2 linked regions of the Nothobranchius furzeri genome follow. The protein of the gene in region 2 purifies or fractionates together with the protein of the main gene of each other region. This does not show direct contact. Links are inferred from orthologs where the notes say so. Each region holds a gene or a part of one and is shown on either strand. Other genes may lie near its edges.

Region 1 (5,080 bases), on a different chromosome or scaffold from region 2:
AGGAGCCTGCAGGTACGGTGTGTGTGTCACTCACTCTGGTTACTCCAACAGGGAGCCGGCTCTGAGAGCCGTTTCTTTAGTGACCGACACATCACTACATCATTCCCTTTCCTAATGTCCTGAAGAACGGTCCGGAGCGCAGGCAGAGTGTTTAGCTAACCTGCAGGAAACGTCGACGACAGTTATCCAGAAAGTAGCTAAGGGTTACGAGAGATGTTTCTGAGATGTTCGCTAGGTACTTTTAGATTTAAAAAGTCAAGAAGGGGGTCTGAAGCTGCTAGAAATAGCGACAAAGTCGCTAAGTTGGCAACACTGTGGAGGAGCGCTTCATTTGCAACTCAAGCAGCGTAGGTGGGAGGAGCAAATAATCAGCTTGTTTTGTTTTTATAATCGTTCAAAACTCAGATCGTAATCGTGATTAAAATTCGATTCATTGAGCAGCCCTAACCCAATGTTAACTTGTCTTAAAGCACCACCCCAGCAGCCGTTGCCTGTGTAGTCAGAATCCCTACCAGTGACTGCATTTGTGTACTTTCTACCGTAAACCAATAATACCGTCATTACTACAGAGCAGCCGAGACACCGTGCGGGACGAACTCTTACCAATGAGACAGAGACGAGAACTGGGCAGGTGTGGCCACTCAAAAAGGGTGTAGAGGACGTCCTGAGCCTTGCTGTCCAGCTGGTCCATTTCATCCAAAACCAGAAGCCTTAGAAGAGAAGACACACGCATGAGCCTAGGGCTGGGCCATATGGGCCAAAACTTACATCTATACTTTTCATTCAAGTCAACTCCCAGAGCTGCCTTGAGAAATTGTACATAAATTCATCAGCAGATTAAATGCATAAAGTGTATTGATTCTTGTACAACATGAACCATCGAGTTTACACGAATTAGAACTAAAGGTTCCTGAAGACATTTGTGACGTGTAGCTGTTACTGCTGATAGATGGATGACGTGAGTCCTTGTACCCCTCATAACCCTAACCCTCATAACACACAAGCTTATGTTTCAGAACACCGTCTCTGCGGGTCGTTCAGTATTTTGTTTGAAATAATATGAACATTTATGAAGAATGTCTGACACTGCCCATTCCTAGACGAGCAAGTCAGGTCCATGAAAACCAGGCAGCATGAAGGTCACTCACACAGCAGGCCCCGACGATGTGAAGAACTTCTGCAGACCCCTCTGGCCGCTGAGCACTTTCAGTTTGTCAGCCAGCAGAGGGAAGATGGAGTGGGCGCTTCGCAGACTCATACAGTTCACCAGAACCGTCAGAACCGACGACAGCTCAGCCTGATGGGACAACAACAGCTAGGTGAGGAGATGACGACATCTGTGTAGACAGGGCTGCTCAATAAATCACATTTTAATCACAATTACTATCAGAGTTTTGAACCATTGGAACAACAAAACGAGCCGATGATTTGCTCCTCTCTCATGGTTTACTCCGAGTTGCAAATCAAGCGCACCTCCCAGCAGCGTTGCCAAATTTTAGCAGCTTTGTGGCCGTTTCTAACAACCTTTCAGACCATTCCTCCACTTTCTTCTCTAAGCTACCCAGAAACCACCTAGGAACATTCCTGGATACCTGCAGGTCACAGCCTGCACTCAGGACCGTCCTTCTGGACATTAGGAAAGGGAACAACGTAGAGACGGCTCTCAGAGACTCCTGTCCCCGCAGGCTCCTGGTGAAACGGCTAAATGTGCCCGTGCAACACACACACACACACACACACACACTCCTGATTGTAGTGTGTGTGCTGCAGTGCACCTCTGCAGGGTGGGACATCTACTACATGGACTGATGGAACCTGGAAATAAATGGTTTAGGAATACGTTTCTAACGCTGATTCATCTCAGAGCAACAGACTAGTGCTGCACTCTCCCACAGCGCCGCTGGACAGGACTCAGTACCGCAGCAGGTTATGGAAGTTCACTACAACATGCATGTTTAGACTCTTGCCATCAGAATTGGGTTAGGGTTAAAGCTCAGCCTACTGGCTCTGTTACACGAGGAACCAGGAGTTGTTCTGATCTTCTTCTGATCGCCCTGATAAAGCCATGATGGAGTAGCCCTACTGCAGACAGCGCTAAAGCATGTCCAGCTCACCTTCATGTCCTTCAGGACACAGCTCAGGCAGGCCGTCTTGCCAGTCCCAGGAGCTCCTGAAATATAGAGGCTTCCAGGACGGCGCTGCAGGACCGTCTCCTGCAGGAAGGAGCGGATGGACGTCTGCTCCGCCTCTCTGGACAAGATGTGTTCAGGGATGGATGTGTGGAGCACCTGCTTCACGCTCTGGAACTTGGACTCTGAGGAGAAAAACAATGATTGTAGCACTTTGGTTCCTAAGAAACTCGTAACTTGCTGAAACCATCTTACTTTCTGCAAACAGCTGAGTGACTGGGGTCTTCTTTCCTCCAGTGCCACGCAAGGGACTTCCGGTGGGCGTTTCTGGTCTCCTAGTGGACGAAGTGGTGGTTGGACAGCGTGGTTTTTCAGAAGATGGGTCTGATGTTTGATGGACCACGACTGGAGAGTTCTCATTGAAACCTAGCTTCCTCTGGGAGGACAGAGACGTCTTTTTCTGTTTGGGAGGGGACGCCTGCAGGGTGTGGAGGTTGCAGCCGTTCTCATCACCTTTACAGAGATAAACACAAGTCAACACCTTCATGGAGACAACTCCTGACCAGCGCTGCAGACTCACCTGTGCGTTTGCGCGGGCTCAGGGGGAGTCGGGGCTGCAGGGCGGGAGACTGCCTCGGAGACACGGGCCTGGGTGGGCTTGGAGGCGGAAGGACGTCCTGGGACGCAGACCCTGGAGGTTTGGGGGGTTTTAAAGGCGCTCGGCAGGACTTGCGTCGTGGGAACGTCAGCGTGGGCTGAGCTCGAGCCTGGGAGCGGGTGCTAGGCATCCTAGCAGCTTTAGCGTTAGCTCGCCTTGCAGGACTCTCAGAGTAAAGGAGGGGTTGGTAACCCGGTCAGGTTAACCCGAACCAACCCGGATCAACGCTCACCTGCGCTCGGTCAGCTCCTCTCGAGGACGGGCTTCTCTACCGGTAACCGAGTCCAAACTAGCGCCAAAACGTCTTCTTTACCAGCTGCGTCATCCGCTGCTGCTCTTGGATTGGTCAACGCAACACTTTTCGCAACCTCATTGGTTCGGTGCTGCGGGCGGAAGTTACGCAAAGGGCGCGTTTGGTAACGGCGGGAAATACTTTTGTTTGAGTTTTAGCCATCGAGAAATGGGTAGGAAGAGCAGAACAAGGAAGGTCCCACCTGAACAGGTGAGTCCAGCTTAGCTCATCCGTCTGAGAGGTGATTGGATGAGACGGTTTCATAGCAGATCAGTGTGTGTTTACATGAACACAGAACAGTGTACATTCATGTTTACACACACACACACACACACACACACACACACACACACACACACACACACACACACACACACACACACACACACACACACACACACACACACACACACACACACACACACACACACACACACGGAGGTGTCCCCTGTCCCTGACTGTCTCCAGGTGGCTGGAACACAACAGAGACTGAACAGGATCATTTGCACTCACTAGAAATGTTTCATCAGCCAAGATGATATTAATCTGACAACAAGAGCTCTGATCTGCTCTGACTGTCAGATCACACGATTGGAATCAGCAGCATCAGTGAAGCCAGGATGAGCGTTACCTCATGAATATTAACAGGAAAATGTCCAGAGAAACTAGACACGTGTAACCCTAACCCTAACAGAATTCCACCACCATAGCACATGAGCCTAACACCTTTTTATTCATTCTGTAGAATAATTAACCAGTTATAATAATAAAGTATGTATGGAACAGTCTAGCGAGGTGACAGCTGCAGAAATATAGCTCCAACAGCAATAATGGTTCTATTCGATTCACGATTGGTCACTCTGAGCTGCGTATTCATGCTACACTCCCATCGTCTGCATCAGCTGCCCAAAGGAAAGAGATGAAGAAACTACTGTTGGGAAAAAAACTGTCTCCATTAGGCGTTTCGCATCTGGGCTAGCACGGACCGGGCTGGGTAGCGTCGGTCCGGTCCCACACCAGTAGGGTTTATTCACACTGTTGGTTGATTCTATCCACCAATCAGAAGCTCCCTCTAACGGCAGGTTGGTATTTGAGCCGGCCAGTCAGTCGTAGTGGGCATGTTGGCCTGGCCCAGCCCTGAGCAGACCACCAGAGGTTAAGGGCCAAAAACCCGCCTGGTAGGAGGGGGCAAGTACCAGATCACCCAGGGATGAAAACAATATGTTCAATGCAGGCCGGGCCGATCGGTACCAGATGTGAAACCCCCATTAAGCCGGGTGTACACTATGCAACTTTTTCACTTTTTTGAGCCGATTTTCCAGTCGTGCGAGAATCCACGACATCGGGGCGAGTTTAGCGCCGAGCGGTCGTGTACGGGGGGTTACGAGAGGCGATTAACACCACGTGACCAGCTGCCGATCAGCAGTCGTGAGGTCGCACGGACTTCTGGCGTGTTTAAAATTTTGCTCGTCCCTCGTGAGGGTATCGCACTGTTGAAGCGGCACAGCGAGCAGCTGCGACCCAAAAAGTATCAGAACCGCTCACGGTGCATGCGCAATCCTGCATCAACGCCGCTCGCCTGCTATTTCCTTAATAACACACGCTGTTCGTTTTTATTTCTACACATTTCTTTTACTCACAAAGATTGTCAAGAAAGCGTGTTTGTCGTGTTCATGTCAAATTAAACTGATCACAAAACACAGATTTACTTTCTTTATTTCGTTTTCCTCATCCAACCCCCATAAATCCCTGTGTGTCCTCCTGCAGCACTCCCGAAGGACAACAGGCAAGAGAAGACAAAAAAGTCTGACGTGTTGAGTAAAAACTGCTATTTTTAGCACATTTTTAGGGCCGACGTGTTGCTACCAGACGTACAGTGTGAGCAGTCAGGTCGCATCCGAGAACTGGGTCGTGCAGTGTGAGCGCACGACTCGTGAGATCTGCTCTGCGAGGAAGTCGTACAGTTTGAGCTGAAGCTGAGTGCTACGAGTGAAAAAGTCG
Region 2 (4,809 bases):
CAACAGGCACCTGGTCACTCTGCAGAAGATCAGAGAAAACAAATAAAGAAACGAGTACTCTACAACAAAGACAACACCAAAAGAAAGGTCCCTCACGTGCTCCTGAATCCGTAGCTCCTGGAACTTCACAAACTTGGACCCTCTGGTCTGCAGGTAGAGTCGTCCTCCAGATTTGTTGGTGACACACTCTTGACTGGGACACATGACCAGAGGCATAAAGGTGGGGGACTGGATCTGGTGGGTGCATGAGGAGGACATCATGAGGATAATAATCTTACATCAAAACTTGAGTGGTTTTACCAGATCTTACTGGTTGGTAGGTTTCAGCACCACACTGGTCACACGTGTACGTAGCTACAGCCATCATCGGTTTGACCTCGGTGGCGCGGGTCACGATGCCTCGGACTGTGACCAGATGGCCAATGCTGTCAGCCCGGATATCACGCACCACTTTGGGTTTTGAGGTGCTGGAAGACTTGAAGTAGAGCTCACTGCAGAAACAAGCCACTATAGTGAAAAAAGCCCCAACACACAAGGAAAATTACGAATCTGGTTCTACTCACAATCTCCTCATGAGCTCAGGTGGGTACTGGTTATGTGGATCTCTGGTGTCGGCCGGATCACGACCCCTTTGCTCCATCATCAGCCTGTGCTCAATGTACACGTCCAGGGAATCTTTGGCCACAATCTAAGCACAAAATGTATCTTTTTAGAATTCCTTCAGATAAAAAATCTGAAATGCACTGGAAGCGGATTTAAAAAATGTACTCAAAACTAAGATCTACATACATCTCTTTCCTTGTATTCTGGCAGCAGCTCGTGTATGGCGTCAGCAAACAGGTTTGTGTAGCGTTTTGCATTCTCACAGATACTCTCAACCAGATCTGGGTCTTCCTCAGCCACATCTTCCAGCTCAACAACCAGGGACACCTTCTCCCGGTGGGCCAGCTGCACCTGAACACACAAAACAAATAATTAGTCAAGCTTCAGAAAACAATTACACATGTGCTTTTGTGAGAAAAAAAAACAAAAAAACAACAACAAATGACTACGATATAGAACGACGAGACAAAAAAGAAACAACCTAGTTACAAAACACAAACTAGTTGTCAAAGCAGGAAGATAAACAGAATTACATCACAAAACCTCTTTCCGTAAAAAGCATTCACTATACTCACAAGTTGCACTCCATATTTGAACACCTTCTTCCCATCGTCATCCTCCGTGTAAAACTCCTGCAGAAACCTTTTGCACTTCTCTGAAAACAAAAACACAACAGCTCCACTTTACAAGACTAAATAAAAAGGCCACGTTCACATATGTCCCTTTCCTAAAATAGCAGTATTAAACCCAACAGCAGAGGGCCTGCACACTGGGAGCTAGTTTGTTGTCCTACGACGAGCCCCCCTTTGTTGAGTAACACGGCATCCTGTAATCTCGATGAGTCACTATTGCTACAGTTCAACATAAACTGTCACTGGGGCTCAACATGGAGCGAATGTCGCTCATGTGAGTCTCGTCTCCTAGTTTTAGAGTGAAATAACAAGTACTACGCAGCGTATGGCCCCGGGGTGGGAACGTAAACACAACAGGCGCGCTCAGTTCGGTCCTTTTTTCCCCTTCCTCTGGTAAATATCCCCCCTCACTTCTCGAAGGAGCCACAACTACCAACGATATTTAACTAGGCGCCACGGGCGACGGAACAAGCCTTCGAACTGAACTTAATATTCCACTTACTTTACCGCCGTAGAGGAAATTTGCTGCGTCGTGGGGTTATTTCCATGTTCGAGGATGTTATTGTAAACAAAGCAGCACATGGCTTTTGTGCCCAGTCACTGGAGATATCCCTCCGCGATTCCTCCGCTCCTAGAACCAGTCCCGGTTGTTGTTTTCAAACCGTGGCCAGCCATTTTTTAACATTAGCCCAGGTTAGCTTAGAGTTGTGAACGCAGCAGCTGCGCTGCCTTTTCTAATGTCCTGATGACAGAATCACTAAGCGGCGAGAGGAGGTTTGCTTAATGCTTACCACGAGACGTTTATGACGACTAAGAAATTGCTGCTGGTTAGTGCGTTCGCTGAATTAGACTCGGAACACGACTACGTTCAGGAACTACGCGTGTATACGATTCATTAATACACCACATATTGCTACAGAGCCCTTCCAAACCCATGTGAGTGATCAACATAAACCAAAGCTATAATCGTTTATGCTGAAAACGAATAAGCTGGAAGCAAATATCAGTATTAAAATTCATTTTAGCTAGTAACGAAAAAGCTAACAGCACTGTTCAACCCTGTAAAATCAAAATATAGCCCAGACGGTGCGTTAACGGACACTTGACAAAAAGTACAACATAGTTGGGTGAAGGATTTTCCTTTACTTCCCGACCACATAGATTACCCCTAAACTAAATCATTTTATTTTACACCGACACACGTCGACAGCATAGAGTATAACTTTGCAAAAGTAGTTTTTGAAAGGTCCGACTGTCTGCACTCGTTCCTTGACTACTTATGTACTCTACACGTCTTGATAGTGTGCGCGTTCCCGGATGTGCTTGCACAGTGGCGCCTGTTTCCTTTGTTTAAGGATCCATCCGGGTCACCGGGTAGTAAAGAGCAGACAACGCTAAACTGGTTACCGACGACCCAACGTTAACAAACTCACTGTGAAATACTTAACTAGTACTTCCATTACATCGCTGCTAAATGACGCATATTCGTACACATATTTAAAATGGTAATTTTCTATCTAACTCAAATGGCAATATTTAAAAACGCTAGTGACGTAAACTACTGAAACAGGACATGAACATGTAATTCAACTCTGAAAGACACATACTTCATATAGGTAACATTTATTAAGACTTTCAGTCCAACCTGTTGCTACCACCCATGCTGTTACTGACACACACAGACAACTATTTACCTTTCTCTGCCAGATAATCTTTACGAGCCATGGCAGCACACGTTGATGTTCAGGCGAATAACTTGAAAACGAGATCTTGAGGTGCCCACGTACCTAAACGAGGTTTTTACTTAAGAGTTTAGCAAATTTCTTGCACCGGAGACTTGAATTCATTCACATGCAGCCAGAACTTCTCCCGGTCTCAAGAGTAGAAACTGGCGCCACTCTCCTCGGCCAGCAGCAAATCACGTCGCATCTTTCACGAAGTATGGGCGGGACGTTTTGGTGGCGCGAAAATCGCAGGAAGCTGCGTGTCACATGGTTATGAAAACTTCCGCCGGGGTTTTCCACTAATGGCGCGAAATGTTCTAAAGACAACACAACTCATCACAATGGGTGTTATTTATTGTATGTTACACACAAACAACTCAACACGTTAACAGCAGAGTGCATGCAGACACAGGCTGCTTTGAAACACTCATCAAAAGTGTCTCAAAAACGGAGTAAAATGATGATCAATTTTGGAATGAATTGTCACCACTAACTCGCTTTTCCATTTTATTACAGACTTCGAACCGATAATACTTCACTTTTTATGAACAATTATATAAAAAACACATCAACAAAGCAAAAATGTGTTCAAAATAGGTAGCTTTAGCTTTCATTCGGATAACTGTACTAAACATTTTTAATATCAGTTTTTGCTTTTCATCAGAACATTAACAATTCAATCATTTAATGGCAAACTGCAGCAAGTCAGATAACATGAAGATAAAGATGTAGTCACAGGGATGAACAGGTGGCTGAGATTTCAATTCATGCAAATACTTCAAACACTGATAACATAAAAATGGCATCTGAAAATGGTGGAAGCGTTCCAGTACATCACTCAAAGAGCTCATCCAGGAAACTGGCAGAGGTGTGGCGTGTTGAGGGCTTTAGGGGGAAAATGGAGAGACTGACTGTTTAATCTTACCAGGAATACAATTATTTTATTCACATAGTTTTAAATCAAGTCTTCAGACTGTATTATAACTCCACAAATCCCAATTGAACTCAGATCTTCAAAGTTTTCCTTTATCCAAATCAATCCTAAATTACTAAAGCTAAGATCTATCAGTATTGCTGTTTTACCAGTGTGTATCCAGACTCCAGGTCACTTTCATAATCTTCAATCTCAGGCTCCTCTTCTTCTGAAATGTCATCCTCTATCAGAGAAAGCCTAAGTGGCAAACAGATTAATTAGCTTGTTTAAGAGTTAAAACGTTATTCACAAAAACCATCTTCCCTTTAGTTCTAGACCAGTCTTACATGGTGAGGTGGGAATTCAGATCCTCCTGCTCGTGAGGGGGTGCAGACTGGGAGGAAGAGGCTGTTCCTTGCTTGGTGGGCCTCACATTAGGCATCTGTGACCTAGTGAACATCACAAGGTAAATGGTCTGTATTTGATATAGCACCTTCTAGAGTCCCCCCCAAGGCACTTTACAACACAATCAGTCATTCACCCATTCACACGCTGCTGGTGTGAAGCCAAAGCTGCCCTGGGGCACAGACACAGGCGAGTGCCATACACAGGCACCACCGGTCCCTCCGACCACCACCAGCAGGCAAGGTGGGTTAAATGTCTTGCCCAAGGACACAGCGATGGACTAAGCAGGGCTCAAACCTGCAACCTTCCGATTACAGGGTGAGCACTTCTGTGCCACTGTCGCCCTGTGTGTGCCCCGTCTATACTTTGTTATTCCTGTAGACTAACTGACGATTTAATACTTATAAAAAAATCTGTAATGCTCAGTTATATCTCAACTGTTGTCAGCGACTTAACTAATTCAATGCTGACATTGATTTATTTTGTGGACAGACAAACATAATATTTGATTTAAAATGTTCATCAACTGTTT

The links. Proteins that work in one complex are often made in the same cells at the same time.
Region 1: the proteins of mcm7 (region 2) and cdc6 purify together in Homo sapiens (affinity purification with western blotting; 3 studies listed by BioGRID). This does not show direct contact. The link is inferred for Nothobranchius furzeri from reciprocal best matches to the Homo sapiens genes MCM7 and CDC6.

The regions. Positions count from the first base shown.
Region 1 is NC_091747.1:65,968,795-65,973,874, forward strand, and holds the start of cdc6 (cell division control protein 6 homolog), read right to left. Parts: upstream 3,069-5,080; 5' UTR 2,918-3,068; coding exon 2,710-2,917; intron 2,643-2,709; coding exon 2,385-2,642; intron 2,315-2,384; coding exon 2,115-2,314; intron 1,298-2,114; coding exon 1,149-1,297; intron 711-1,148; coding exon 604-710; intron 1-603. UniProt on the Homo sapiens protein: Involved in the initiation of DNA replication. Also participates in checkpoint controls that ensure DNA replication is completed before mitosis is initiated.
Region 2 is NC_091741.1:79,972,056-79,976,864, reverse strand, and holds the start of mcm7 (DNA replication licensing factor MCM7), read right to left. Parts: upstream 3,072-4,809; 5' UTR 2,961-3,071; coding exon 2,930-2,960; intron 2,531-2,929; exon of another isoform or gene 1,738-2,530; intron 1,259-1,737; coding exon 1,179-1,258; intron 955-1,178; coding exon 790-954; intron 689-789; coding exon 564-688; intron 492-563; coding exon 311-491; intron 235-310; coding exon 97-234; intron 20-96; coding exon 1-19. Other genes in the region: cohesin subunit SA-1, read right to left, coding at 3,794-3,844, 4,043-4,130, 4,220-4,321. UniProt on the Homo sapiens protein: Acts as a component of the MCM2-7 complex (MCM complex) which is the replicative helicase essential for 'once per cell cycle' DNA replication initiation and elongation in eukaryotic cells.